4 linked regions of the Pelodiscus sinensis genome follow. The protein of the gene in region 4 purifies or fractionates together with the protein of the main gene of each other region. This does not show direct contact. Links are inferred from orthologs where the notes say so. Each region holds a gene or a part of one and is shown on either strand. Other genes may lie near its edges.

Region 1 (7,765 bases), on a different chromosome or scaffold from region 4:
GGAAGCTGGTCTGTGAGAGGAGCCAGTTTAACAACCGGCTTCCCATGCAGATTGGGTCTTGCCTGCCATGGGGTAGCAGCAGCTCCTGTCTGCAGGGAACCTGGACCTCCTGCGGACAGGGGCTGCTGCTGCGGAGCAGTCTCTGTCTGCTGCAAGTCCAGGTCACCGTGGACAGAGGCTGCTTTGTGGCAGCCTACCCATCTCCGCCCCCGTGCTGCTGTCTCTGATACAGGCAGCAGCACAATGGGGGCAGCGACAGGTGGCACCATGGAGCTGATGCTTTTAAGCTGGATCTCCCCACTCCGCTGCCTCTGTAGCAGGCAGAAATAAGGGGGCAGGTGGGTATAGGGAGCCTGCTTGAAAGCCAGCTCCCCAAGCATATTGGCTCTCGTCTGCCCCTCTCACCCTCCACACTGCCGCCTCTCTCAGAAGCAGCAGCACCGGGGTGGGGGCAGGTGGATCTGGTGCTTGTAGTGAGCTCCTCTCGGGCTCCCGGTTCCATCCTCCCCCCCCCCATTGCTGCCTGTGATAGAGGCCGCAGGAGGTGGGGAAGTACGTGTAGTTGACAAGATTAACCGATAAGCCTAGGTTTATTAGTTAATCGTGTAATCGTCTACAAGTTGGCATCCATAATTGTAATGCAGGTGTGGGATGAAGACCAATGGCTCTAGAACTTTAGGATGCACAAAGCAACCTTTCTAGAGCCGTGTGTTCAGCTGACCCCCAAACTGCAGTGCAAGGACAACTGAATGAGAAATGTTCTCTTGGTAGAGAAGAGTGGACAACTACTGTGGTTGAAACTGGAAAGTCCCACTTGCTACTGGTCTGTAGCAAATCAGTTTGGAGTGGGGAAATTTACCATTAGAGCTGCATTTCTGCAAGTGTAAAGAACAATAAATCACATTCTGCTGCAGAGGATTGTGAGGGTACATCTATCAGAAAAAGACACGCAAAATGCGCTCTGATACTTTTGTTGGAAGAGGCTAGTCTAGAGCCTGTTGAGGCTGTGCCAGATTTCTGAAACCCCCCCTCTTTTGAAAGCCCCCTTCTCCCTCGTGGAACGAGGAATACAGGGGCTTTTGAAAGAGCACGTTTGCTCTTTCGCAAAAAAAAGTGGAAGAGCAAATGCATTCTCTGGACGTGGAGGAGTTTTTTCGGGATACCTCTGGTATCCCAACCCCCTCCCACCCGCAGTCTAGCTGTACCCTGATTCTGGGAAATGTGGATAACTTTGCAGAGATCGGCTTTCCAAAGTGTGGCAAGGCAAGACATGGCACATATATTGTCATTATAGCGCCACTTTGACAACAAAGGATGCTGAAATGTCTCTCTCTCTTGGGGTTGCTTCCCTGCTGCATCCCATTCCTCATCCCAAGTACTGTGATGCATTCCATGAAAGGGATTTAACATCCTGTAGTTGGAGCCTAAATGATTGATAGTTAAAATATAAAATATAAATACAGAGGCAGCAAGGGGGACAGGAATGCAAGCAGTCGATAGGATTAACTGATAAGTCCAGGCTTATCGGTTAATCGTGTAGTCAACTACACATTGACATCCCTGCTACGTATACCCCATTATGGAACATCCAGTCACAGGCAACAAACAAGAGGTTCTAGCTCAGATAGCTACAGTACGTACTATTGTCTTAGTTTACAATGCAATGTGGCCTAATAACCAAAATCCTGCAGTAGGTATGGAGCAAGGTAGAGGGACCTGGTCCCATTCTTCAGTGGCTCCCTGTGAATGTAGTTGTCCAGGGTTCAGCTCAGTTTCTCGTTTTAATGTTCACTTTCCCTGGGTCACTTCCTACCCTGGGTTCCTGCTTTATCAGTTTTTCTGGCTCACTCTTGTCCTCAACAGCTTGCAGGGTTCCACCATCAATCACACTAGTTTGGCCTCTATAGTGCCATCCACTCCCTGGCGGAAGCCAGCAACATATATCCACTCTCTTCCTCAACCAGCACAAATTGAGCTGGGCCACTCCCTTTTATATCCTGTCTCCAGGTTTAGCAGGCCCAAGGGGGACGATGGGGTGTGGCCTCTTCAGACTACAAAGTACATTTGACCCTTGATGGGTCAGTGCAGGGTAGATACACCCCATCACACCCATCTTAACTCTACTGACTTCATTATTATCCTTCCTGATCACAATCTATTTTTATAAGAGCAATGAGCTACATTGATTCAAAGATAAAGGCCACAGCAACAGAACTGCTGGCTAGAAGGGGAAAGCAACCCTGCCTTAGTGGAGTTGTTGATATTCAACACCAAGTGCTGAGGTTAGTAACATTTTAGGTATCTGGCTTTGTATTACATCTAATCTTTTTTTTTTTTTAAACTCACAGTTGGAAAGAAACAAGAAGTCATAATGCTCAACTACCTAATTAGGTACATCCTTTGTTACAATATTGTGTTTAAAGGGTGGGTGAAAGGCAGCCACCCCTAACCCTAATTCTTTAGTAGCCAGGATCCAAGAATGCAGGATTTTATCCTGTTATTTTTAGCTAGCAAAACGAATATATAAAAATGTAAGGATCACTAAAGCTCACATCCTTCAAATATATAAAAATAAAATTATGAGAATTAAGGATGAATTGTCACTGCTACTGGTGAATTTTGTAAGAAATCTGTAAGGACAAAATTTGAAGTTGCCAATTTTATGTAGTGTTGAAATGCAGTCATGCATAATCCTTTGTGATCTTTTCTCGGTAAGAAAACATCTTTCTTTTAATTTTAAATAGAATTTAAACAGCTGTGTTCTTTGGAACATACTGCCCTTTGTATGTACATCCCAGAACTGATGTCTCATTGGGAGGGGAAAGAAAAGCCCTATTAAGTTATGTGGCCTTGGAGTTTGCTGGGAAAAGCAATATTAAATGTGCTTTAAACTTAAAAATGTAATTATCTCAAGGTCACATACTCACACACAATATAAAATATAAATTCTGCAAAAAACAGAGGCAACTTAAGCCAATGTTCACATCTCTTGGCAATGTACACCAGCCAATAGGGAAGATGGTGAAGTCATACCATCACTTTGGTGCTCACTCCTCTCGTGTTGCTTTCACAGCTAAGCAACAGCCAATTGTCAGGAAAAACAGAATATCTGCCTATGTTGGAAGAATTGTCTTTTAATTTATCCAGTAGATTTTGTGTGCATGAGGAAAGGACATTTAATCATGCTTTTGTATGTTCTAATCTAAATCAAGGGCTAGCTCAGGCTGACAAGACTACAAAGAGTCTCTTCTGCTGATGTTGACAGTTCTGTCAGGTGGGCGGGTGGTGTTCAGTGGCCTTGTTGCTGCTTACAGTTGTCAGTCAGCAACAGCAAGTAGTCTGGATCTCCATGTGGTCAGACAGAAATCCAAAGCCAGGATAGACCGTGGTAGCAACAGAGCTGTCTGCATGCATCAGATCAGATATTTCATAGTCTGACACTGCTGGCAAGAGTTCTCTCTCTTAAGGGGGGTTGTGGTGTCCGATTTTACCAGCCCTAAAACCAACTGTACATTAATGAGCTCTCAGGGAAAGCTTTTCCTTTCAAAATAAACCCAGACAACAAAGACCATCACCTCTTAAGAGAAAGTAGAGGCTACTACATCAGAATGATGATTTTGGTAGTAAATAAACTGATAGAAGGGGAGGAGAGAGATGTGTCTGCTTGTCTTTATCTGTCTTTCCTTATCTACTTTAGGTACTTGTATAGCTTCCATAGACTTTGAATACCTCACAACCCTTAAAGAGACAAGGTGGGTATTTATATTTTATATTTAACTATAAAAAGAAAATGATACTGTTTTGGGTTTCCTACATAATTTCTAGGTAAGTTTCCTGATTTTTTTTCTTCCAGTAGGTGGGTCCATAGGATGATTTCTTGTCTGAGTCGACATATTCTAGATTACATGAGTTGCAGTAAATGGTTCTTCAGTTTTTCCAATAAAACTTTACCACACCCACCCTGTCTTTTAAATATCCAGGACCAACAGAGCTACCCGTTATTGCATATCACAGCTCTTAATGTCTCAATCCTTACAACACACCCCTCTAGGCAGGGAAGCGCTACCACGTCCATGTAACACAGAGGGAACAAGGGGTAAGGGAAGAGTTTGTAAATGGGGTGCCAACAGCCATTGAAACAAACTGTAACGTCTGAATATGATGGAAACTCCTAGCCAGGGGGCGCGGCAGCACTCCTAGCTCCAGCATCTGGAAACCCAGACACGGCCAGAAAAGTGATTTGTAGTAGCTCAAGGTTTGTGACAGAGCAGGGATTCAAATCCAGGTCTGGCATGCCCTGATGTACCTCCCCAGCCTAGACCGCCGCTGTGTTACTAATGTCCATGCGTAAGAGCCAGAGAATGGATTGCAAGCAATACCTGGAATGCCTGGCAGTGAGAACTGCCACTTAATGAATACAGGGTAGCAGCCCAGGGGCAGCCCGCCTAGGAATCAGTGCAATGTGCACGCAGAGCAGAAAACAAACTATGGCAGCCAGGCGAGTCCCGCTGCTGCAAACCCCTGGAGCAAACTCCAAAGCTGCTTCTCTGCTCTTTGTGTAGTAAACAAACCCTGCTCCGGCTGCAAGCACCACACGGCCGAGCCAGGCTCACTCTCCCTTCAGTGACTTACCAGCAGCCACACACACAGCCCTCATGGAAAATTGGCCTCTGAATAATACGACAGGCAAATCGTTTCCTAAGCGGCGTGGGGCGCCCATTGGCTCGGGCGGGCCCGTCAATCACACGGCGAAGGACGGGGGAGGAGGCGGGCCGCGCCGCGGCTGCGGGGCGGGCGGGAGTTCCAGTAAGTCAGCGCCGGGCCGCCTGAGTCGCTGCTGCCACGGCCGCGTCCTGCACACTCAACAGGCAGCTGCGCGACCAGGGGGAGCAGCCGGGCTGCAGCCGGCGGCCGCGCTGAGCCCTGCGGACCCCACGGCCGAGCTGGCGGCTGCCCAGCGCCCTCCCTCCCCGGGAGCTTGGATATGAAGTGGCGGAGCTAAGTGTCCTTCTCCCTCCCCCTCTCCGGGCTCCCCTCCTGCCCCGGGGCTCCCGCCCCCTCAACTCCGCTCGCCCCGCTCCGCTCCTTCCTCCGGGCTCTCTGCCTGCAGCCTCCCAGCCGGCTCCCGGCTCCCCCTTTTCCGGAGCTCGTCCCCTCCTCACCACCACCATGGCTGAAGCGCCCCAGCTCGTGGACATCGACCCCGATTTCGAGCCGCTGCCCCGGCCCCGCTCCTGCACCTGGCCCCTGCCCAGACCGGAGTTCAACCCGCCTAGCTCGGCCACCTCCAGCCCGGCGCCGTCCTGCGGGGGGCAGCCCGATGGGGCCGCCGCTGTCTCGTCGGTCAGCGCCGATTTCATCGGCAGCCTGAGCCTGCTGGAGGAGAGCGAGGACTTCGAGCCGCCGCCACTGCCCCCGGCCGCCGCGGGTGCTGCAGAAGGGGCCGCTGCCGGTGGCGGCTGCCTCTGCGGGGACTTCCAGTGCCAGGAGGCCGGCTGCCTCCATCAGCAGCAGCCCGGCCCGCCACTCCAGCAGCAGCAGCACCCGCCGGTGTCCGCCCTCTCCTCGGGTCCCATCCCCGGGCAACCCCGCAAGAGCAGCTCGGCCCGCCGCAACGCCTGGGGCAACCTGTCCTACGCCGACCTGATCACCAAGGCCATCGAGAGCGCCCCGGAGAAGCGGCTCACTCTGTCCCAGATCTACGAGTGGATGGTCAAGAGCGTCCCCTACTTCAAGGATAAGGGTGACAGCAACAGCTCGGCCGGCTGGAAGGTGAGGCAGATGGGTAGGGACTGGGAGTGCCTGGGGAGAGCTGGCCGGTGTAGTGGCAGGAACGGGGGGGCTTGGCTTTCCCCAAATCCCGTCTTTCAGGGGAGGTTAGGAAGCACCTTCCAGGGAGAATAGTGATAGAAATGTAGCCGTGTTAGTCTGGGATAGTTGAAGCAAAATGCAGGACAATGAGGCACTTTAAAGACTAACAAGATGGTTTATTAGATGATGAGCTTTCGTGGGCCAGACCCACTTCATTGTCCTTTTCATATGTGTTCATTTTTTTAATTGTATCCTTTGGTATATATGGTTGTGACTACTTTCTTCCACTATTTGATCTGAGGAAGTGGGTCTGGCCCACGAAAGCTCATCATCTAATAAACCATCTTGTTAGTCTTTAAAGTGCTACATTGTCCTGCATTTTGCTTCCAGGGAGAGGCAGCGCACACCCAGCCCCTCTGCAGCCTAGCCCGGCCGGTACACTCCTCAGTGCCGGGTGCGTGGGGATTGCAGAGCATTGCAGCCTCCTAGTGATCGGGGAAGCAGGGCAGTTGCAAACTCTGCACCCGAGTAAGTGAAGAGCACGAAGGTAGGGGGCAGCGTAGCGATTGGCAGGCTGCCCCCTGTCCTCGCTGGCTGTTCACTGACACTGGGGTGCCGAAGCTTAGGCAGGCAGGCTCGGTTTGCAGGGCGGCCGAATACTTAAAAAAAAGGGTCCCCTTTCTCTCCCCCAGTGAGTTGGAAAGCCACTAAGGAGGGGGCGGGGGAGGGGGTTGCATGTGTGTGCGGTGACCCCGGGAGCGAGGGGGTTCCTGCCATTTTCCCGGGTGCCTTAAAGAGCAGCCGAAGTTGCGTGTGCCGGGTTTGTAACTTAGCAGCCAACCGGCTGGGAACGGGCCCTGTGGAGACTCGCTGTGTCATTTCCCTTTGCAGACTTGGGACGAATTTAAAGTGACAGATTCAAGGGCTAGCCGAGAACTAGAGAAACGCAGCGGCAGGGTGCCACGTCCTGGGGGCGGTAGGGCAGCAGACACTAGCTCATTTTGCCTGCTCTGTACCCGGCGTGGAGCTAAAGTTCAAGCCTGCCAATGCGTGCAATGCATTTAAAGGGCCGGTGTCTCCAGTTTCATGCACAACAGGTCAAATCCTAAAACATATGGCAGCACTGTGTGAGACCTTCTCCTGTATGTAAGTAAGGGAGTTTGGAGTCCTTTCCAGTACAAACATTAATTACAAGTTAAACTTATGGATGGAATTTGTTCCCCCCCCCCCCAGGGTCACTGAGCAGGAGAGTCCTAGTGCTATTTCAGGTTTAAGATATAAAATCATCTTTTCATCCCATTGTTCATTATGTAGTCAGGCATGTAATACGTGGCTTTACTGAAGAAAACAGGCAAGTCCTTGCCCCAAGGAATTTACAATCTCAAGTCAGACTGACCGAACAAAAGGGGGGGAGTCATAAAGTAAAATGGGGAAAGGGCATAGGTAGGTCAAGGGTTATAGTAACAGTGCATGTTTACCAAGTGAGCTGTGTATTCAATGTAATGTCTTTGTTAAACTTTGTTTTTAATTAATGGGACTCTGTTTCCCTCAGAATGAAGTTTGTATGTCTAGAAGTAGCAGATTGGTAGGTGACCAGTTTCCATCATAGGATTTGCTATTCTGTCTTGTACAGAGGAATTGGATAGCAAGTTCACACTATCTCTGCAAGGAGTCCTGATTCCAGCCTTAGGACAGGAGTGAAGATAATAATAAACCACAGAGTTCTGCTCTGTGAGACTTCTAAGGCTGTTCAGTGGTGGATATGTTCCGTTTAGCAAATGGCATGATCTTTCTGTCACTTCACACATTACCAGCAACTCTAATATAGCAGATTGCCTAACCATCACTAGAACTAATGGCTGACTTTTAATCAGTTACATTTTTTCCAAGACTAGCTGTTAGAATGAGATTGCAAAGTGCCACTTGTCTGAATACACAGATTATTAATGCACCA
Region 2 (6,844 bases), on a different chromosome or scaffold from region 4:
TAAACCACACAGTGTTTTAAGTATTAATAAGGCTGATATAGCAGTTTCAGCTGAGTTTAATGTTTGGGATCCCTAAATAAGTGCTTAAATAATGATAGCATGAATTAAAAAAGATTGGTAAACCAAGTGCTTCAGCACTATCTTTTTACTGCACAGTCTTCCCACTGCAAGTACAAAAGCAATGTCTTCTGCAGCACCTGCTGTCTGAAACAGCCTCTGGTATCTCTCTACCTTTATCTCTACAAATCTCTGCCAAAAGCCTATCTTTTTCCCTCTTATCTATGCCCGTTGTCTCCCAAAGTGTTATGTAACTTTGTAAGTATATTAACTCTGTAGTGTGTAGCAAATAATGTATGAGAGAGATCCAAATATTTTTGTATTTTTCCACTGGCTTGTTATTTCCTTATGTATTAATTTACAGGATGGGGCTGAAGTAATACCAGAACTAATTCTATCAGAGTACTTCAGTGCCTTACCAATGGAAATGCCATCAAATGAGGTGTCATTGTATTAGGCCCCTTGAATGGTTCTTAGAGGCTGAAAACAAACACGCAAATTCTAAAATATTTGAGCTCAACTTTGGTTTCCCGTGAATATCAAGAAGCTTGAATTCCTAAGGCTCATGCACGCATAGACTTGCAGCTTTTGTGAACAAAACTACAGCCTCACTCTGATTTCAGAGTGTATAATGCATGGTGCTCCCTGTGGCTCGGAGAGGCTAACAAAACAGGGGCTGTATGTATGTAGTTGGGTTGTACAGTTACAAGAGGGAAACCAGAGCACAAGAGAACCTTTTCTATTTGCATGTACTCCTAATTGGTGTGGAGCCAAGGACTGCCAACGTGAATTACCTATAGGCCAGTGCCACCACCAGTTCACTAGCTGAATGTGGAGGGTATTTTGAGCCTGTGGCAGATAGAGCTGCTATGGCGTCGGTGGTGGATGCCTTGGCCTATTGTGGGACAAAGGAACTGTGTGGCCTGTGGCGGGTGCTGAGGGCCCATGGCTGGGTAGGGTGGCTGTGTGGCCTGTGGCGGGTGCGGAGGGCCCGTGGCTGGGTAGGGTGGCTGTGTGGCCCGTGGCTGCGTAGGGTGGCTGTGTGGCCTGTGGTGGGGCAGGATGGCCCGTGGCTGGGTAGGGTGGCTGTGTGGCCCGTGGCGGGTGCGGAGGGCCCGTGGCTGGGTAGGATGGCTGTGTGGCCCGTGGCGGGTGCGGAGGGCCCATGGCAGGGTAGGGTGGCTGTGTGGCTCGTGGCGGGTGTGGAGGGCCCGTGGCTGGGTAGGGTGGCTGTGTGGCCCGTGACGGGGCAGGACGGCTGTGTGGCCCGTGAGGGGGCTGTGTGGTCTATGGCAGAGCAGAGTGGTGTGTGGCCAGTGGGGTGGGGGGCTGTGTGGTCTATGGCAGAGCAGGGTGATGTGGGGCCAGTGAGGGGGGGCGGGCTGTGTGGCCCGTGGCAGAGCAGGGTGGTGTGTGACCAGTGAGGGGGGGCTGTGTGGTCTATGGCAGAGCAGGACGGCTGTGTGGCCAGTGAGGGGGTGGGGGCTGTGTGGCCCGTGGCAGAGCAGGGTGGTGTGTGGGCAGTGGGGTGGGGGGCTGTGTGGTCTATGGCAGAGCAGGGTGATGTGGGGCCAGTGAGGGGGGGCGGGCTGTGTGGCCCGTGGCAGAGCAGGGTGGTGTGTGGCCAGTGGGGGGGGGCTGTGTGGCCGGTGGCAGAGCAGGGTGGTGTGTGACCAGTGAGGGGGGGGCTGTGTGGTCTATGGCAGAGCAGGGTGGTGTGTGGCCAGTGGGGGGGGGGGGCTGTGTGGTCTATGGCAGAGCAGGGTGATGTGTGGCCAGTGGGGGGGGGGGGGCTGTGTGGTCTATGGCAGAGCAGGGTGGTGTGTGGCCAGTGAGGGGGGGGGCTGTGTGGTCTATGGCAGAGCAGGGTGATGTGTGGCCAGTGGGGGGGGAGGCTGTGTGGTCTATGGCAGAGCAGGGTGGTGTGTGGCCAGTGGGGGGGGGGGCTGTGTGGTCTATGGCAGAGCAGGGTGATGTGTGGCCAGTGGGGGGGGGGGGGGCTGTGTGGTCTATGGCAGAGCAGGGTGATGTGTGGCCAGTGAGGGGGGGGGCTGTGTGGTCTATGGCAGAGCAGGGTGGTGTGTGGCCAGTGAGGGGGGGGGCTGTGTGGTCTATGGCAGAGCAGGGTGGTGTGTGGCCAGTGGGGTGGGGGGCTGTGTGGTCTATGGCAGAGCAGGGTGATGTGTGGCCAGTGGGGGGGGCGGGCTGTGTGGTCTATGGCAGAGCAGGGTGATGTGTGGCCAGTGGGGGGGGGGGGGCTGTGTGGTCTATGGCAGAGCAGGGTGGTGTGTGGCCAGTGGGGGGGGGGGGCTGTGTGGTCTATGGCAGAGCAGGGTGGTGTGTGGCCAGTGGAGTGGGGGGCTGTGTGGTCTATGGCAGAGCAGGGTGGTGTGTGGCCAGTGGGGGGGGGGGGGCTGTGTGGTCTATGGCAGAGCAGGGTGGTGTGTGGCCAGTGGGGGGGGGGGGGGGCTGTGTGGTCTATGGCAGAGCAGGGTGATGTGTGGCCAGTGGGGGGGGGGGGGCTGTGTGGTCTATGGCAGAGCAGGGTGATGTGTGGCCAGTGGGGGGGGGGGCTGTGTGGTCTATGGCAGAGCAGGGTGATGTGTGGCTAGTGGGGGAGGGGGCTGTGTGGTCTATGGCAGAGCAGGGTGATGTGTGGCCAGTGGGGGGGGGGCTGTGTGGTCTATGGCAGAGCAGGGTGATGTGTGGCCAGTGGGGGGAGGGCTGTGTGGTCTATGGCAGAGCAGGGTGGTGTGTGGCCAGTGGGGGGGGGGGGCTGTGTGGTCTATGGCAGAGCAGGGTGATGTGTGGCCAGTGGGGGGGGGGGGGGCTGTGTGGTCTATGGCAGAGCAGGGTGATGTGTGGCCAGTGGGGGGGGGGGCTGTGGGGTCTATGGCAGAGCAGGGTGATGTGTGGCCAGTGGGGGGGGGGGGGCTGTGTGGTCTATGGCAGAGCAGGGTGATGTGTGGCCAGTGGGGGGGGGGGCTGTGGGGTCTATGGCAGAGCAGGGTGATGTGTGGCCAGTGGGGGGGGGGGCTGTGTGGTCTATGGCAGAGCAGGGTGATGTGTGGCCAGTGGGGGGGGGGGCTGTGTGGTCTATGGCAGAGCAGGGTGGTGTGTGGCCAGTGAGGGGGGGGGGCTGTGTGGTCTATGGCAGAGCAGGGTGATGTGTGGCCAGTGGGGGGGGTGTGGCCTCCTCTCCAGGGGCTGTGCCCTGCCCCCCCAGGAGGAAGGGGGGAGCCGCCCCAGCGCTCTGTGCTACCCCGCCCCGCTTGCAGGAAATCACTGGGGTAACAGAGAAGCTGCAGGGATAAGCGGATATGACAGCAGCCCTGCCCCGCAACGCAACCTGATGCTGTGGGCGCTCCACCCTGAGCGCCCCGTCCAGCCAATCCCTTCCCCGAGCTGCCTCCCCACGGCCGCGCCGGGGCCAATGCGGCAGCGCTCATTGCAAGAGGGGCCCCGCCTCTCTCGTCTCATTGGCCCGCTTGCCCTGCCCATCCCCTCCGCAGCGCCCGCCTTTTCCCGCTGGAACGTGTGGAACAGGGCGTCGCGCCAATGAGGCGCCGGACGAGGCGTTGCCCAAGCCTGGAGTGACAGGCCTGGGACCAACGGCCGCGCGCCCCCCCCAGCCTCCCTCCCCAATGGTGGCGGGACAGAGGGGCAGGCCCACACCGCCTCCTGCCCCTTCCCTGTTGGTCGGCCCCACTCCGGGCCTGGCGGGCTAGGTTGAGTTCGCAGCAAGGGCCATTAAACGCTGTGGGGGGAGGGGGAGCGATTTAAAGAGACAGGAGCCGAGCGGGCGGCCGGCTGGGGGAGCAGCAGCGGACGAGCCCCCTCCCCCCCGCGGCAGCACCTCCGCCGCCAGGGTCTCCCCGAGCCCCGCCGGCTCCCAGCGGCCTCCATGAGCTAGCGGCAGCGGCGGCCACTCCGGGGGCGGCAGCGGCCGCCGCCTCCTCCTCCTCCGCGCCAGCCCCATCTTTGTGCGCTGCCGCCCGGCCGCCGCGCTTTGTTCGGCGCCGGGGGGGAGCCCGGCCCTCGGGGCGAGCCGCTCCCCGCGCCCCGCTGCAGCTCGCGGGGGCGGGGGAGGCCGCGCCGCCGCCGGAGCCCGCGGCGGGCGGCGTGAGGGGGCCGGCGCCTGGGAGCGCGCGAGCGGCTGCGGCGGCCCCGTCCCGTGTCCGTGCGGCTGCCAGGGGGAAGGGGCCGGCTCGCTGCCCGCCGGCCCGGCCCGTCGGCGGGCGGATTGATGAGGGGGGGTCGGACATGAGTCCGCCGGCCGCCGGGTGCTGCCATGTGACCGGCTTCAAGGTGGAGAACTGGAAGCAGAACCTGCGGGCGATCTACCAGTGCTTCGTGTGGAGCGGCTCGGCCGAGACCAGGAAGCGCAAGGTACCGGGGGTGGGGGGGCAGGGCCACACCCCGCTCCGCCCCACCCAGCGGGGCCCCGGCCCCGATCCCGCCCGCCCCGCACCCACCGGGCCCGCCCTGGGCTCTCCCGCGGCGGGGAGGGGGGCTCCGCGCTGCTGGAGCGGGGAAGGGGCTGTCGGGGTCCCGCGGGCAGGGAGAGGCACCGTTCAGCTCACGGGAGGGGAAGCAGGGGATCCCCTTAAACACCTGCCCTTGGCGGAGGGGCAAGCTTGGGAGGGGGCGGCTGCCGCAAGGGCTTTCCTGGCCTATGCAGGGGTGGGAGGCTGGACCGAGCGCCGCCGCCTCCCAGGTGCTGGGGGGAGTGAGGGTTTCCCGGAATCAGGCAACTACTGCATTGCTTGTCTGCGGGGGAGGGAGCGCTCCCAGGGCAGATGGGCATGGCCGGCCTGCAGCCGAGCTCTGGGCACTGGGAGGCAGTCTCCTGCAGAGAATAGGCTGCTTCCGATCACGGTCTGGTACAGTAAGTGACAGGCTGGGATAAGGAAGGCGAAAGGGAGAAGTGGATCTTTAATTCCCAGTGTCACCCTCTAGTAAACTATTGCATGTAGCTACAGCATAGGTACTTAAGCAAATAGAGTGCAGCCTTTGGGAAGCATGGGATACACAGGCTGAGGTTTGTCTTGCATCTAATTTAAGGAGCAGTATTGGGGGGAAAAAGAGAGAGGAGCTTGCAAATCATGCTTGCACATAATGTGTATTTAGGAAAGGCTTAAAGACACAATGACTGGAAATAAGTCTGCAGATTTTTGTGTCTGTGGAATGCCTTTTTTATGATTTAATGCATCCACTGGTAACTGAATCAGAAAAAGATTCCTAGTGTGGTGTGAGGAAGGTGGGAAATAAAGAATTTTATGCACCGGAAAAGTGAGAGCATTTTGCTCTTTCAAATGTGTAGTGAAAGTACTGCACAAATAGTAGCATAATGAATATGTTAGAGAAGACTGATGGGCCATATTTGTATAAAACAAGCTAATTACTAAGCTAATATTTTAAAAATAGGTTACAAAGACATGTTTCTGGAAAATTGATCTGTTAACTGTTCACAAATTCTTTTCCTTTGAATCAACTAGTTCTTCAAAGTGACTTTGCAGATTTCTCTCAGTGATCATCTTAATGACTAAAAAGGGTACTGCAACTGCAACTCAGACAGCAAAGCTTTCTCTTCAGGACAGCAAGGATAAGGCCTAATGAAGCAATCAATTACATCTCTTGTAACTTTATTTCATTAGATTATTTAAATCACTCAGACAAGTAGAGCTAGTTATAGAATGAAAGACACAATATTCAGAAATTAGGTAGATTAAAAAGGCTTGTGAAAGTTGTGTTCATAGAATCATAGAGCTGGAAGAGACCTCAGGAGGTCATCAAGTCCAGCCCCCTGCCCAAGGTTGTCTCTTTAAAAAGAGACAGCAAATCGGACATTATTTAGTCATCTAATATTCAAGCAGTATTTAATCTAGCTACAGGCATATTTGAATATTTATGTTCCTCTTGTAAGTGAATGTAGCTTAATACTTCAGTAACAAACTTTTTTGTACCCTGTAATAATTCAAAACACAACTTGTTATATGAAAGATAATGACTTAAATGAAAACATACATTCGTGATGATTAGTTATGTCCAGTATACTGTGATACACAATAGGCAAAGATGACGTAAGAAGACTGAACAATATGAGATAATGGGTCTTACTGCTAGAGTGACAATGTTTTGATTAACAACATGAATATTTCCTGTCTTTTCACATTGAAAGTACTTTTAAGAATAGTTCATTTTGAATGACTGTTCTATGAATTGGAAAATAATTTTATATTCCCCTGTGGTATGTTGCCACATCCATAGCATTGCTTTGATATTAAGACTATGCCCCTCCATGTATATGAGTGCTAGTTTTGAATCCTCATCAGTATATAGCGATAGATAGAAAAATGACTTCAGAAAAACTGGACCTTGGTTTTCTCAAATTATGGCACTGGTATTTTTTCTGCTGAAAACTCAGTCACAAAATCTTACTTGTTTATTGCTGTAGAAATCATGTACAATTACTGTCAGGTTTTATATTAATATGAAGATTCATTGAATAAACCCTGCCTTGGTAACACGAATCTACCATGCAAACTGTCTTGCACAGTTGGTTATCCAGTGAGTGATCATCAGTCGGTCATTCTTTAGGTTTTTCAGACACTAATCTTCTACCTTTACTTTTGGAAGGATGAGTCTTAAAAATCCAGATAGCAGTAGAAACTGCAGAGGGCAGAAACAGACCACTTCTGCAGCTTTACTAGGTTACTTATATTGCTTGCTGCATTATGTTTTAAAAGACCATTTCAGCACTGCTTGTTTTTTGCCATTTGTTTTC
Region 3 (7,776 bases), on a different chromosome or scaffold from region 4:
GGACAATCTCTGATGGTGTACAAAAATTTCAGTTATTTCTAAAGTTTACATGTACTACACACACACAAAAATGACATTCTCTGATGGTGTAAACTGGCACAGCTCTATCAATTTCAATGGAGTAGCATCAACTAATTTACAGGATCACGGAAAATGCTGTGAAAGGCAGCCTTTAAGCAATCACTCCAAGGTATTGCCAAGCATTTTACAATGTTAAATTATCTGTAATAAGAATCATGAATTGTAGTGTCCATAAAATATATGGCATATATATATTGAAGGACTTGACTCTGCAAACACACACACTTTAAGTATACGTGTAAGTGCAGAAATTTGAGGCAAAGTTTGTGCACAAGTGATTCTAGACTTTGCATTGTTTCCATTTGCTACTTCTAGTTTTGATACCGAAATGCCAAACACTAGTCAGAAACAATGGCCATGTTATCCAAGCCCAAAACGGATCTTCTGTGGAGGTATCTTCCAGCTAATTGGCAGAAGTGAAGTCAGCTGTCTTTTGTGGCAGGATTCCCCCATCTTGAAGACCCCAGGGGGACTTTTCTGACCATGCAGAGTCCATGCTGAGGGAGGAGGAGGCAGGATGGCCAGGAAAGGAGGAGTGAGATGGGGGTAGGAGTTGGTGTGTGTGTGTGTGGGGGGGGTGGGGGGCAATATTGTCCTCTCTCTGTCCCTGCAAAATGCACCCAGATAATATATCATATGGACATGCTGTCCTTTCTGTGGACACCCCAAAAAGATCCCTGGGACAACTGTAGCCAGGGAGAGAACCTAACTGCTCACAGCAACTAGCGGACAAAGCCAGCAGCGGCGGCTGGGAGCCCTGGCGCTTTTGAATCACAGGACCCTGGGGCAGTTGCCCCGTTTGTCCCTTACCTTTCCCTGTCAGCGGGCCTGTTTATGTGTGTGTCATTTTAGTAATATCAGTAGGAAAAAAACGTGAACGGAAACCAGTGAAATTTGGCAATCCTGTACATGGACAATAGTAAATAAAATGTCTTGTAGGCCACACACACAACCCTGATAGACCACATGCAGTTGCCCATTACAGCCTTACATGATCTGGTTGGAAGAAATTGGGAATCCATGATTTGGTACAGCAGGATCAAGTCCCAAGATGTTTTTCAGAGTATAAATAGAAACAACAAGCTCCCGCTAATGCTTTTAAATTTTGACAAAAAGCAGAAAATCATCAGCATGAGTGTTGTTATTGTGTGAAATAATAGCTGAGACCACCTATCCAGTTTGCAGGATTCAAACCTTTTACTCATGCACACAGTTCCTACTTACATGGGTCATATGCCTACCAGCCCTTACTCACATAAGCAATCCCTATTACAAGCAATGTCCTCTTTCCTTTGGTCCTTAGGATCTGGTTCAAAACCCTCTAATGTGAAATCACTTTCACTGACTTCAGTAGGCTTGGGATCAGGCCCTAAGTCAACAAGATATCTAAAGTAGTAAGCAGAGCCCTGCAAATCTGCAGCTCATTTTTGCAGATACAGATACAAATTTTGCATCCAGAACTCTACAAATCTGCAGGTACCCACTTTATATAATTTTTCCATATACAGATGTGGATGTGCCATGGTCTTGTAATAAGTATCCCTAATATAAAAAGGATGAATACTATCAAAACATTTAATTTTAGTATATAAGAATTCACCATATAATAATTGTTAGAAGGACATCAGTCAAATTCCTTTTAAATTGTCTGTCAGAATTTATTAAATTAGATTTTTACTAATAAGATGCAGAATACATACAAAATATTACTTTCCAATTCACAAAGGTTTAATATTAGAGAAGAATACAAAATAGGAAAAAATTAAAAGCATTAGGTTTAGTTAATTTTATAACACTTTTGATTCAGTTGAGTCAGCTAACATTCATGTGAACCATTCACATTTCCATTGATCATTTTTCCCTTTGATTTGATTATTCCGAAGCTCATTTTAATCAAAATAATAAAAGACCTTAACATCCTTGAGACAAAGCTTATTAGATTTGTTAATGTGTATTTTTGATGTCCAAAATAAATTTTTATAATGATGTTTTTCATGCCCAATGGTGATGTAGGGGGTTTTGCTGAACAATTAGACAAACATGATCTTTGCCTTGAAGAGACAAATTTAAATATGATGTGTCAACTGACACAACAAAAAATAGGGAGGAAATGGGTGAAAGGGCAAGCTCCCAAGATCAGTTTAAGAATGTAAGGACATTTGCGCCATCAGCATCTTATTGCTTTTGTTGTTGTAATGATTAATACTATCAGGGGTTTAAAATCGGGTTTAAAAAGTTGACCCTGATTGAATCATCTCTGATGTAACACTCCCATTTCTCAGAGGGGTAGCTGTGAAAGTCTGGATCTGAAAAAGCGACAAGGAGTCCTGTGATACCTTATAGACCAACAGATGTATTGGAGCATAAGCTTTCATGAGCATAAGCTTTTCGTGACATGCATCTGACGAAGGGGGTCTTTGCCCACGAAAGTTTATGCTCCAATACATCTGTTAGTCTATAAGGAGCCACAGGAATCCTTGTTACTCCCATTCCTGTACCCCTAGGCTACGTCTAGACTGGCATGATTTTCCGCAAATGCTTTTAACAGAAAAGTTTTTCCGTTAAAAGCATTTGCGGAAAAGAGTGTCTAGATTGGCACAGACGCTTTTCTGCAAAAAAAAGCGTCCGTGCCAATCTTGACGCGGTTTTGTGCAAGAAAGCCCCGATCACCATTTTCGCCATCGGGGCTTTTTTGCGCAAAATAGTTTTTAGCTGTCTACACTGGCCCTTTTGTGCAAAAGCGTTTCCGGAAAAGGGCTTTTGTCCAATCTGGAGCGTGAAAGTATTTGCGCAAGAAGCACTGATTTTGTACATTACAAAGTCAGTGCTCTTGGGCAAAATCAAGCGGCCAGTGTAGACAGCTGGCAAGTTTTTGCTTGCGCAAAATCTTGCCAGTCTAGACCCACCCCTACTGTTTCGTTTTTTTCTCCTTTCATGCAGCTGAAGTGAGTTGTAAATCACAAAAGCTCATATGCCCTAATAAAACTGGCAGGCTGTGTCTAGACTGGCAAGTTTTTCCGGAAAATCAGCCGCTTTTCCGAAAAAACTTGCCAGCTATCTACACTGGCCGCTTGAATTTCTGGAAAAGCACTGATGATCTAATGTAAGATCGTCCGTGCTTTTCCGGAAATATTATGCTGCTCCCGTTTGGGCAAAAGTCTTTTTCCGAAAGACTTTTGCGCAAAAGGGCCAGTGTAGACAGCACAGTACTGTTTTCCGCAAAAAAGCCCCGATCGTGAAAATGGCAATCAGGACTTTTTTGTGGAAAAGCGTGTTTAGATTGGCCACGGACGCTTTTCTGCAAAAAGTGCTTTTCTGTTAAAAGCATTTCTGGAAAATCATGCCAGTGTAGACGTAGCCTTAATCTTTAAGGTGCCATCGCACGCCTTGCTGTTTTTGCAGAAACAGACTAACACATCTACTCTGAAACCTAAGGAACAGACTCTCGGAGGGGTAACCGTGTCAGTAGCTTTACCCACAAAAGCTCATGATTCTATATCTTTTGGCTAGTCTCTAAGGCCGTGGTCCCCAACATGGCGCCCGCGGGGGCATTTGCATTCGCCCGCCAGGTGCTTGGGGCTGGCCTGGCCCCGGGCACATGGCGCACGGGGAGCGCCGGCACCGGGCGCGTGGCGTTTGGCGGGGGGGAGCGCCGGCCCCGGGCGCGGCGCTTGGGGGGGGGGGAGGGAGCGCCAGCCCCATGGCGCTTGGCGGGGGGAGCGCTGGCCCCTGGCGCGCAGCGCTTGGGGGGGAGGGAGCGCCAGCCCCGGGCGCGTGGTGGTTGGCGGGGGGAGCGCTGGCTCCGGGCGCGCAGCCCTTGGAGGGGGCACCGGGTGCGTGGCTATGGGGGGGGCGTGGCTGTGGAGGGGCCCCGCCCCCTGGCGCCCGACAACCTCAAAAGGTTGGGGACCACTGCTCTAAGGTGCCACAGGACCCCTGGGTGTTTCTAAGGAACAGAAATGGTTTCATTCTAGCTGGGGAGCTAGATGTGCCTGGGAAAACATGTATTGGACCCTAAATCTGACTAGCTGCAAAGGGCGGGCAGGAAAGGGTCACTCACAGTTTGCAAGCTGGGGCTCCAATCCTGCACCCCTGCGGGGGCAGCCCTACCGTGCCCCACGTTACACCGGAACCTCGTTTACGGCCCCATCACTCCGCCCTCGTGGACTGACGCCGCTGTGGGCTTGACAGGGTGGCCGCGGCTCGTCGGGGGCTGCAGAGCCAGGGCTGTGTGGGGCCGTGTCGGGGCTATGCTGGGCGGTGACTGGGGGGCGGGGGCAGCAGCGCTGGGCAATGTCGGGCGTACCCGGGCGGGCTCCTCAGCCAGGTCCCAGCTGCGCAGCGCTGCCCCTCAGAGGCTGGAACGATGGGCACGGGCTGACGTATGGCACCGTCTCTTTCAACGGTTGGGCTCGTTTGAAAAGAGCCAGCCGCCAATCAGAACCGAGGTGAGCCAGCGTCCTGTGACCCGTGTTTGGGCAAGCGGAGCTCCCCCTTTCATCCCCACACCTAAGGATTAGGGGAATCGCGCTCGGCCAATGGGCGATCGCTTTGCGACGAGCTGCACGGGCACCGTCCAATAACAGGAAGCCCTTTTCAGAGAGCGACGGGAGGAAGGGAGGGACTTCACGAAGAGAATCCCGCGAAGGACCAATGAGGAAGCGGCTTTCATAAGCACGCCGGCGCTGGCGCCGCCTGGCAACCAATGGGCGGCTCGCTTAGAGCGGCGGCTCGCTTTTTGAATTGGGGTCGGCGGCCGCTGCCTGGAGCTTGGCGGAGTGGCCGGGTTGCGGGTTTGAGCGTGAGGCGCGGTAAGGCCTTGTGGGGAGAGCCCGGGCTGGGGACGCGGGGCCGGGTTGGGCCGCGCCGCATGCAGCGGAGCAGGTGAAGGAAGGGGCCGAGGGTGGGGCTGCCCAGAAGGGGCCGAGCGGAGCCCGGAACCCGCCCGCTCTGGGCTGCGCATGGCCGGTGTAAGGCACATCGCGCCGGCTCCTGGCGGCCTCGGGGTTAGCCCTGGCGAGCGACTCCTTGGCCCCTGCATTCGTCTGAGGAACAGCTCGCTCCGCCCTTCAAAGGCGCATCAGCTGCCGCCTTAGGCGCAGCCTCCGCCTGGGACTGCACCTGCCAGGCGTGTGGCTTTCCAGCCCCCCCCCCCCCCCCCCGAGCATCCCCGCTCTGCCCCGAGCCAGCCCCGTGAGCGGGGAAACCGACCAGGGCCATTGAAGTAGCACCTTGGAGACGAGCACTCTAGTATCGTCCGTTTTGGGGAGGGGGTGGGGGAGCCTTTGTTAATTGAGGGTAACTCACTGACAACCCCGTCTGCATCTTTAACGTCTCAGAGGGGAAGCCGTTTTAGTCTGCAACTTTAAAAACAAGGCGTAGTCCTGGAGCACCTTTGAGACTATGTGTATATATATAAATAATCATGAGCTTTCTTGGGCAAAATCTGCTGCTTTAGGAATGGGAATCCATGTGACCATTAATGGCAGACCATTAAATATGGCTTTAATAGACTCATTTTGGTAGTCTCTGCCAAGGACTACAGGGCATTGCATCCTCCTTTTGATAGGTAACTGATGTAATTCTTGCCTACCACACAGTGGTATGTCTGGGTGGGACTTGATTAATATTTGTAAAATTCTTGGGACTTTTGTGCAACTTTTGAACTGTGAAAGGAATCCCTTTTTGTGGCTATTTGCATTTACTATAGTAAGTTACAGAATTCTCACCCAACATATCTAGATAAAACAAATTTGTTGGGAGGGGGAGGGGAAACTCCTTAAGGGTGATACTTACAGGTTAACTGTTCACATTCCTACTGCAGATAGGCTGACTATGAAAGCTGCAGGGGGTATCCCAAAACACTGAAATTCAAAGTAATGTTTGTGGGGGGAATAATTCCATCTACCTATATTCAGTGATGGGATGGAGGGGCTCTACATTTTTTTGATACCTTTCAAGAAAGAGATCTCGGGGTTCTTCTGGATAGCATTCTGAAAACTTTTGCTTGGTGCATACTAGCTGTCAAAAAGGCTAACAATCTTAAGAACTATTAAGAAAGTGAAAGAAAATGAGATAATGCCATTATATAAATCTGTGTTGCTCCCACACCTTAAATACAGTGTTTGGTTCTGATCATCCCATCTCAAAAAACTTATATAAGGGAATGAGGAAAAGTTCAGAGCGAGCAACAAAGATCATTACACATAAGGAATGGCTTCCATCTGAGGAGAGACTTCCTCTTGGAAAAGAGGAGATGATATATGGAAAAGGAGGGGGGGGAGAAGGATATGATAGATGGTTATAAAATTATGACTGGTGTGGGAAAATGAATAGATAAATGTTATTTATTCTTTCCCACAATACAAAAAATCAGGGCTCACCCAATGACAATAGTAGGTAGTGGGTTTACTACAAAAGTACTTCTTCAGACAATGCACAATTAATCTTTGGAACTCATTGCCATAGGATATTGTGATGACCAAAGTATAACTGAGTTTTTAAAAGGAAAGTCTATTGATGGTCAGAGATGCAACCTCATGCCCTAAACCTCTGGCTGCCAGAATCTGAGTGGGGAAGACTGGTTGATCCTCCAAACTGTCCTTTTCTGTACTTTTCAGAGATGGGATGCTTTGCTAGATCCCTTGATCTGACCCAATACAGGGCATCTCCTCTATAAGAGGGCATCTCCTCTATAAGTCACCTGGTATACATCCGTTCCGCACTAAAGTCATTGACATTTGTAGGAATTGAGGTATTGTAAGTCCTTCCATTTCCCACTCTTAAGTCATGTGTCCTCCTCCCTCCCCCCCAAAAGCGCAAATGGAAGTTAGCCGCAGGAAAAAAGTTCCCTGCTTTAAGTTGTTTTGCTATACGTTCAAGGAACGTAAGTGATTAATTGACTATCCGATAAGCAAAAGCTTATCGGATAGTCAACAGACTATTCTCTTTCTATCAGAAAGCTGCAGCAAAGGGAGGAAAGAGGAAGGGATGCTGGGGGAAGCCAGGTTAAAAACCGGTTCTCCCCAGTTCCGTGGGAGGGAGTAGGGCCAGGGGCACAGGCACAGCGTCGGCGTTCCACCTTTGAAATGTACAGGAGTCCCTGCTGGGGCTCTTGTGCATTTCAAAGATTGAAACGCTGCATGGAGCTTGGGGCTTGCTGGGGACTCAGGCTCCATGCAGCATTTCAATCTCTGAAATGCACAAGAGCCCCTTTTGGGGCTTTTGTAGATTTCAGAGGTGGAACTCCAGTGGCATTTCTGCCTTTGAAATATAGCAACAGCTGGGCGGGCTCTTGCTACATTTCAAAGCGGAAGCACCCCTATTGACTAATTTTATTCAATTAAAATTAGATTAATCAACTAACATCCCTAATCTTGGCTTTACAGCGAGGAAGGCCTGCATGGCAATTCTTATGTTTTTAAATATAAAGACATCTGCAGTGGTCTTAGTGAAGACACTCCTTTACCAAAGGGAGTGTCTCCTGTCTGTGTAGTTAATCCACCTCCCTGTATGTTGATGAGAGAAACTCTCTGTTGATATAACACTATCTACATGTACAGTTAGGTTGTTACAACTACATTGATCAAAAGTGCTGTATTATACCAATCAAGGTCTGTAGTAGAGATGGTAAATATGGGTTAATTGAATAGTCGAGTAATCTCATGAATTCTTATTGGTTAGTTGACTATTCTA
Region 4 (6,905 bases):
AGCCCACTTCTTCAGATGACCAGAGTGTTGAAGTCCAGATCCAAGAATAAATAAGGAAAGACGGGGGGGAGGGAGAAGGAAAAAAATTGAAGGGGAGGAAGAAAAAAAGACAGTGAGTAGATAAGCTTCAAAAGGACAGCCGAGCGAGTCTGTAACAGGAAAAACTTAAAAACCAACAAACAATTGAGGGGTATGTCTACACTAGCTCGTTAATTCGAGCTAGGTAGGCAAATGAGGTGACCAGAGTTGCAAATGAAGTCCGGGATTTAAATATCCCGGGCTTTATTTGCATGTTCCCATCTGGTTGCCATTTTGAAATTTCACTAGCCCGAACTTATTGCCGCGCGGCTACATGCGGCAGTGAAATGTTAATTCAAACTAAGTCCCAAGGAGTAACAGTTAATTTGAACTAAAGACTTAGTTCGAATTAACGTTTCACTGCTGCATGTATCCGCGCGGCAGTGAGTTTGGGATAGTGAAATTTCAAAATGGCGACCAGATGGGAACATGCAAATAAAGTCCGGGATATTTATATCCCGGGCTTCAATTGCCTGCCTACCTTGAATTAACGCGCTAGTGTAGACATACCCTAATAGCATCTTGACTAAATAATTATAAGAGGCTGATAAGAACCATTAGCTTGCACTTGGAAAGGAAAATGAACAACGCCAGATTCTACACAGACATTAAGAACCATTAGCACCTTCATTGTTTGGTTGGTTTGATATCACAATTCAAGCCATTAGTATAAGAATTAAACTTGGGAATGAAGTTAAGCTCCAATCCTTCTCTGTGTATTTGGCTTGTGGAATTGGTCAAACAAAACAGCGACTTGGAGATCCATTAATGAGTGTCCAGGAAGATTACAGTGTTCTCCAACAGGTTTTTATGTGTTGCCTTTTTGGATATCTGATTTGTGTCCATTAATTCTTTCCTATAGAAACTGTCCGATTTGGCCCAATATACATTGCACTGGGGCATTGCTGGCATTTGATGGCATAGATCACATTAGTGAATGTACAGTTAAATGAGCCTCTGTGCCCTAGATCACAATCCAAACCCTTGCACCCTTTCCTACACCCCTTCCTACACTCATACCCCTTACCCAACCTTGCATGCCAATGCACTGAACCAGGTCACAATCCTCTCCTTCACTCAAACTCCCTCCCAGACTTCACACCCCCTCCTGCATCCCAGTCTCCTATCCTGAGCTCCCTTCTATAGCCCTTGACCACTTACCAAATTCTTGGAGTGCTCCCCCATTAAAAATTATTGCTCACCCCTGTGCTGGCTGCTTCTGGAGCACAGCATGGTGCCCCCAGGACAGGCAGGCACCAAGTAGCCGAACCCCAGCCCCCGTCCTAAATCCTTCCTGCACCCCAAATTCCTGTCCCCAGCCTGATAAAAGAGAATGAGGATGGGGAGGGAAGATGGGAGTGAGCAGGTGCGGGGCCTCAGAGAAGGGGCGGGAAGGAGACCAGGAGCCCCCCCAGGTAAGCCTGAGTCGCCCCCCCCCCCACACTCCCACCCCAAAGGAGCCATGTGCTGCTTTAGTTAAGCTGACCTAACTCTTGGTGGTGGCATGATCAGAGTAAAATTCTATCAAACCTAGCTACTGCTGTTAGGGAAGGTGGATATCAGTGGTCACCAACAAGTAGATTAGGATCTACTGGTAGATCTTGGAGCCTTTGACAGGTGATCCTGAGAGGTTTGGCCGGGAGACTATCAAGTGCCAGCACTTCAGCTTCCCCTCTAAGTGCTACCCTGTTGCTCCTTCCCCCAGCCTTGGAACTGCCCCCCACCCATGGGAGCTTCCTGCTTGCTGTGCAGGGCACGGGAAGAAGAGGAAGGGGGGTACTGATCTCAGGGTGCCCCTCCCTCCATCCTGTACCCCATCTCCACAGAGCAGAGGGGGACAGGGGTGGAGAGAGTTTGATGGCTGCTTTTGGGAGTGGTGCAGGACCAGGGCAGGGGTGAGCCTACCTTAGCCCCCTGCACCACCACCAAGAAGCCACCTGTGGTAAGAAGTATCCAGCTGGAACCTGCATTCTGAACCCCAGCCCCCATCCTAAATCCTTCCTGCACCCCAAATTCCTGCCCCCAGCCTGATAAAAGAGAATGAGAATGGGGGAGGGAGGATGGAGTGAGCAGGTGCAGGGCCTCAGAGAAGGGGCGGGAAGGAGACAAGGCAGGGGTATTTGGGTTTGAGGTAGATCCTGGATTGCACTTAAATTCAAAAAGTGATCTCATGTTTAAAAAGGTTGGAGACCACTGATCTACATCAATGAAAAACCCTTTTCCATCAACATATGAAGTGTCTACACTAAGGGTGTGTCTAGACAACAGGGCTTTTTAAAAAGAAGTGGTCTTTTAAAAAACAAAATTTCCCCGCATCTAGACTGCTGATACTTTTGAAAAAATGCAAGTCAAAAGAATGCAGCAGTTTTTTTGATCATGGAATACCTCATTTTACAAGGATTAACGCCTTTTTTTGAAAGTGCTCTTTCTAAAAAAAGGCGCTATGTAATGCAAACTGTGCTTTTTCAAAAAAAGCATCTAGACTGCCAGGGTGCTCTCTTTCAAAAAAGCGGCTTGCTTTTTTGAAAGTACTGTTTGTAGTCTAGATGCTCTTTTTCGAAAGAGGCTTGCAGTCTAGACATCGCCTAAGAGTACCACAGTCATGCTATGCCACAAAACATAGATATGCCCAAAGTACACTAATAGCAATGCCTGTTACTATTTGTAGAAAACCATGACCTTATGAAGAGTGTAACATTCATCGTATTGCCAGCTCATAATTTTATAAAAAGTCTTATAATACTAGATCATCTCCTGCAGGTATATCCTGAGAATCTTAGCTTGTATTTTAAAAAAATTAATGTGAATCTGTAGCCTTAAAGGATACAGAGAAAAGCAGGAAAACAAGAGGCTCAAAAAGCAACAAGGAAAATGTATGAAGCAAATGCGAGTTTCTTTTGGGCTTTTAAAAAGTTTCATTTTTAAGCCACTCAGATTTTTTTAATACACAGGGTTGGCAATTCTCTCTCTCCTTCTTCAACCAGGTTTTCCTTTTTCTCCTACTTTGATGAAAACAGGAATCCCAGTGATTTTAAGCTTGCCTGCACAAACTGGTAACAGTTTAATTGCAGGTGTGTTTTAAAACGGATTTACTTAAATCTGTGCACATTTGCATATGCATACATAATATTTATATTTAGCAGTGGTTTATTTGGGGGGTTAGTTTAAATCTTGCAAAACACAGTTTAAATTAAACAAATACTCAGATGAATAAGCATCTAAAACGATAAACTTTTAAACACACCCTTAGTTAAACTTCTACAGCTCTGGCTGTAATGCAAGCCTTCTGATTTCTTAACACCACTCCCTCCTCCAACTTGTATTAAAAATAGTGGCACCTCCTGTCCGTCCTCTGCAGCCCTCACTGGGCTGATCGCTTTGGGGTGCTCCCCTTCGTTCTCAGCCCCTCTCCCCTACTCTGTGGGACCATTTGCTTTTTCTTTCTCACCTCCCCACCCCTAAGGCCTGCTCCATCCGTGCCCTTACAGCGCTTCCTCCTGCCCCGCACAACATCCCAGCTGCTCACGCCTCCCGCAGCCCCGCCCCTTCCCGCGCTCCCCTTACATAACGCCTCGCACTGGCAAAGCCCCGGCAAGCTACCCCGCTAGTAGGTCACGTGAGGGGGTGGAGGGCATCGGCGAGGTGCGCCCAGCCTTTGTACCGGGGTCACGTGACGGCGGCATTTCCCACCCTATCCCTTCCCCTCACGTGACCCAGTTTGTTGTTGTTGCGGCCTCTGCGGGGAGGGTGCCCGCGTGGGCGGCGGTGAGGTCACGTGCAGGGTTTAAATCTCTCCCTGGAGGGCGGGGGGGATCGGGGAAGGGGGCTGTAGCTGAGGCGCTGGTGCGCCGGACTGGGGGAGGCGGCGGTTGCTGTTCCAAGATGGCGGACGAGGAGACTCTGCTCCTCCAACCGCGCAGCGGCCCCTGTGCCGCAGCCGAGAGCGCCGAGCCCCTTCCTAAGCGCCAGCGCCTGGACTTGGAAGACGGTGCCGGGCGTGGCTCGGTGACGGGCCCAAGCCCAGAGCGAGGCGTTGGGACGGCGCCCACCGCAGGCTCCGCAGCTGGGGCGGTGGGGGGGCCGGCGGCGGAGGGCTGGAGCGGCGCGGACAACGGGGCCGGGCTGCGGGGCCTGCCCCGCGAGGAGCCGCCCCCACAGCAGCAGGAGGGGGAGGGGGCGGAGACGGCGCCCAGTGGAGACGAAGCGGACACGGCCATTGGCTACAGACGGTCGCAGTATTCACACGAGGTGCCTGCCCCGCGTCCCGGTGAGGATCCCCGGCTTGACCCCGTGGCGGGGAGCGGCGCCCTTCCTGCTCCCTCTCCTCGCCGGGGCCAGTGAGAACCCTCCCCTGGCCGCCCGGGCACAGACAGTTCAAGGGGGGAGGCGGCTGCGTTACTCAGTGGGCCTCCCCCTTCTGTGTGACACCAGTCACCGAGGCCCCTGCCCCACCGCGCGCACGTAGCCGGGGGCGAGCCGTCTGCCACGCTCACTCGCGGCTGGGCAGCGTAGGTCGTTCCCTTCCCCCGGCCTGGCGAGGCGCAGTTAACCTCCTGCCCTCCTCCCTACACCGGCTGGGTTTGGGGAGAAGCAAGCGAATTCCTCCACCCGCCACAGAGTCATCTGCTCCGGGCAGGTGTTGAGCAGTGGGCAGCTGACCCGTCACGCTCATCTCCCTATTTGGAGGCGCAATGGAATCAGCCGCGCTTACGGCCCCCATCCTTTTGCAGCAGCATCTTATTAACGGGACACCGATGCTAAGTTTTTAGTTTCGTTTTTTGCACACATAAGCTTGTCAAATGCCCTTTGCGCTCAGTGATGTGCGTTGATTTATGTATGTGTGCGCTCGCTGAGCGTGTGTATTATAGAAGCATGTCTTCTGCTCCATATTGCTACATCTACTTCGGTTTGTAGATATAGAAAAATCGTGTAATTGGCCATTGGTTTGTACTCCTATGGGATTTGTGACAAATTTATTTTTCAACTTATAACTTTTATAGCCTGTACAATAAGTTCAGTAGACACAAAATTATTACACTGCTTCTGGAACTGGAAAAAAATATTACTATGATAATGTAGAGATTGCTAGATTGAAGTTTGAGTGATACTATGTTGATTTCTGTGCTGCTTATTTGTAGATAGTTTTTATGTATTGCATGTGCATCCATTATTCCCAAATTCAGTTTACCCTCTTAATTTCACACTGCTTTTTCAGTTTTATTTCCTGGACTTCTAAAAGGAGACTAATTTAAGTCATGTTGTAAACAAATTTATTTAATAATGTTAATAGCATCCTGTAAGTGAAATTTTTAAAAGGTTGTTTCCTATATGTATTTGGTATTCTTTCAATTTTTGTTTCCTGAAAATAATTTTCATGAGAGTTGTGATCCACTGAGCAAGTCTTGCCAGCTCCTTCTGTAATTGGCCCCAATACTGAGGGCTTTGCCTGAAAAGATTCAGTAAGCATACTAACCTTTCTGGAAACTGCCCTGCTTGAGGAATCACCTGACTGTGCAGAGGGTGGTATAGTTAAACAGGCTCTTCTACTGCAAAAATTTCTCAGTATAATGAGAAATATGGGTAGGGCCTACCAAACTATTAATGATCTAAACCCTAGTCCTTCAAACATTTCCTTAACTTGGTTTAATTTCACTGAGATATATCACATAGCCCTTTTTGGTGAACATAAAGAAATCTATACCAAGGCATGCAACTTGTGTTTGCAAATGTATAAACTATCACTTCTGCTTATTTTATGCATAAATCAGGCTATCTTCCTATAAAGACTTGAGGTGAGAGTGGAAACTGTCCAAACACACAAGACACCATGAGAGGCTAGATTACCAAAATAGCACTCATACTTTTATATTGGTTTCAAATTTTAACTTGTAATACCATGTCTCTTTTAGGGATGTAAGTGACTAGTTGATTATCTGATAAGCATATGCTTATTGGGTAGCCAAGTAGTGACTTGACTAGTCACTCTCCCCCCACTGCCTCTAAGAGAGAAGCAGAAATTGGGGGAGGCGGGGAGGATGGGGAAGGGAAAGCAGGAGCCAGTGCTGACAGGGAGCTGGCTTAAAAGCCAGTTCTCCTCTTCTCTCTCTTCTCCCCCCCCCCCCCAGCACCATTTATAGGGGGACAAGAGAGGCAGAGGCATCGCAGGGACCAGGCCCAAACCAGGAATTAGCTGATTCCCGTCTCGAGACTGTTCCCAGATGCTGTGCCTCTGCTTTTTAAATGTATTAAGAACCACCTGGTGGCTCTTAATACATTTAAAAAGCAGAGCCACAGCGGGGTTAGCTCACTGGCGGGGAATTAACCCTGCTGTGGCTCTGCATTTTCCCCATTTATTGACTCGATTAGCTGCTTGCCTGCAATTTAACATCTCAAGTCTGTTCTTCTATTCCTTAGTTAATAGCTGTAGGGCTTGAAAGATAATCTGCAAAGGAAGATGGGGTTAGGATTTGTACTGCCCTTCTCCTCCTTCCCCCCCACCCCCATAAAAGGGGTATCAACTGCATGTTCTGCTTTTTTTAACATAAAAAAATGAAGACCATGGCCTTATCCAGAATAGGATAAAGAAAATTAAACAATTTGCTTTTTCTTTTAGGAGGAGTTGGGAGTGAGTTACATTTCTTTCCTTGTTCTTCAATTTAAAAATAATCAGACCTGTCAGATCTGGCCTTCCTGGGTTTTGCTGAAGACCTGAGGTTCTAACACCATGGTATACAACCAATTCTGCTATAGCGAACTAACCACGTTCAAGTGGCCAAATACCACATTGTTCAAGCCAAATACTGTAGCCAATAGTGGCTAGTGTATTG

Evidence for each region.
Region 1: the proteins of SIRT1 (region 4) and FOXO1 purify together in Homo sapiens (affinity purification with western blotting; 5 studies listed by BioGRID and IntAct, with this or other methods). This does not show direct contact. The link is inferred for Pelodiscus sinensis from reciprocal best matches to the Homo sapiens genes SIRT1 and FOXO1.
Region 2: the proteins of SIRT1 (region 4) and USP22 purify together in Homo sapiens (affinity purification with western blotting; 10 studies listed by BioGRID and IntAct, with this or other methods). This does not show direct contact. The link is inferred for Pelodiscus sinensis from reciprocal best matches to the Homo sapiens genes SIRT1 and USP22.
Region 3: the proteins of SIRT1 (region 4) and ECT2 purify together in Homo sapiens (affinity purification with mass spectrometry; 3 studies listed by BioGRID). This does not show direct contact. The link is inferred for Pelodiscus sinensis from reciprocal best matches to the Homo sapiens genes SIRT1 and ECT2.

The regions. Positions count from the first base shown.
Region 1 is NC_134711.1:292,069,561-292,077,325, forward strand, and holds the start of FOXO1 (forkhead box protein O1), read left to right. Parts: upstream 1-4,765; 5' UTR 4,766-5,169; coding exon 5,170-5,772; intron 5,773-7,765. UniProt on the Homo sapiens protein: Transcription factor that is the main target of insulin signaling and regulates metabolic homeostasis in response to oxidative stress.
Region 2 is NC_134726.1:32,611,399-32,618,242, forward strand, and holds the start of USP22 (ubiquitin carboxyl-terminal hydrolase 22), read left to right. Parts: upstream 1-3,841; 5' UTR 3,842-4,320; coding exon 4,321-4,446; intron 4,447-6,844. UniProt on the Homo sapiens protein: Deubiquitinase that plays a role in several cellular processes including transcriptional regulation, cell cycle progression or innate immunity.
Region 3 is NC_134720.1:40,504,798-40,512,573, forward strand, and holds the start of ECT2 (protein ECT2), read left to right. Parts: upstream 1-4,757; 5' UTR 4,758-4,786; coding exon of another isoform or gene 4,787-4,892; intron 4,893-7,776. UniProt on the Homo sapiens protein: Guanine nucleotide exchange factor (GEF) that catalyzes the exchange of GDP for GTP. Promotes guanine nucleotide exchange on the Rho family members of small GTPases, like RHOA, RHOC, RAC1 and CDC42.
Region 4 is NC_134718.1:27,706,959-27,713,863, forward strand, and holds the start of SIRT1 (NAD-dependent protein deacetylase sirtuin-1), read left to right. Parts: upstream 1-3,885; 5' UTR 3,886-3,960; coding exon 3,961-4,345; intron 4,346-6,327; exon of another isoform or gene 6,328-6,805; intron 6,806-6,905. UniProt on the Homo sapiens protein: NAD-dependent protein deacetylase that links transcriptional regulation directly to intracellular energetics and participates in the coordination of several separated cellular functions such as cell cycle, response to DNA damage, metabolism, apoptosis and autophagy.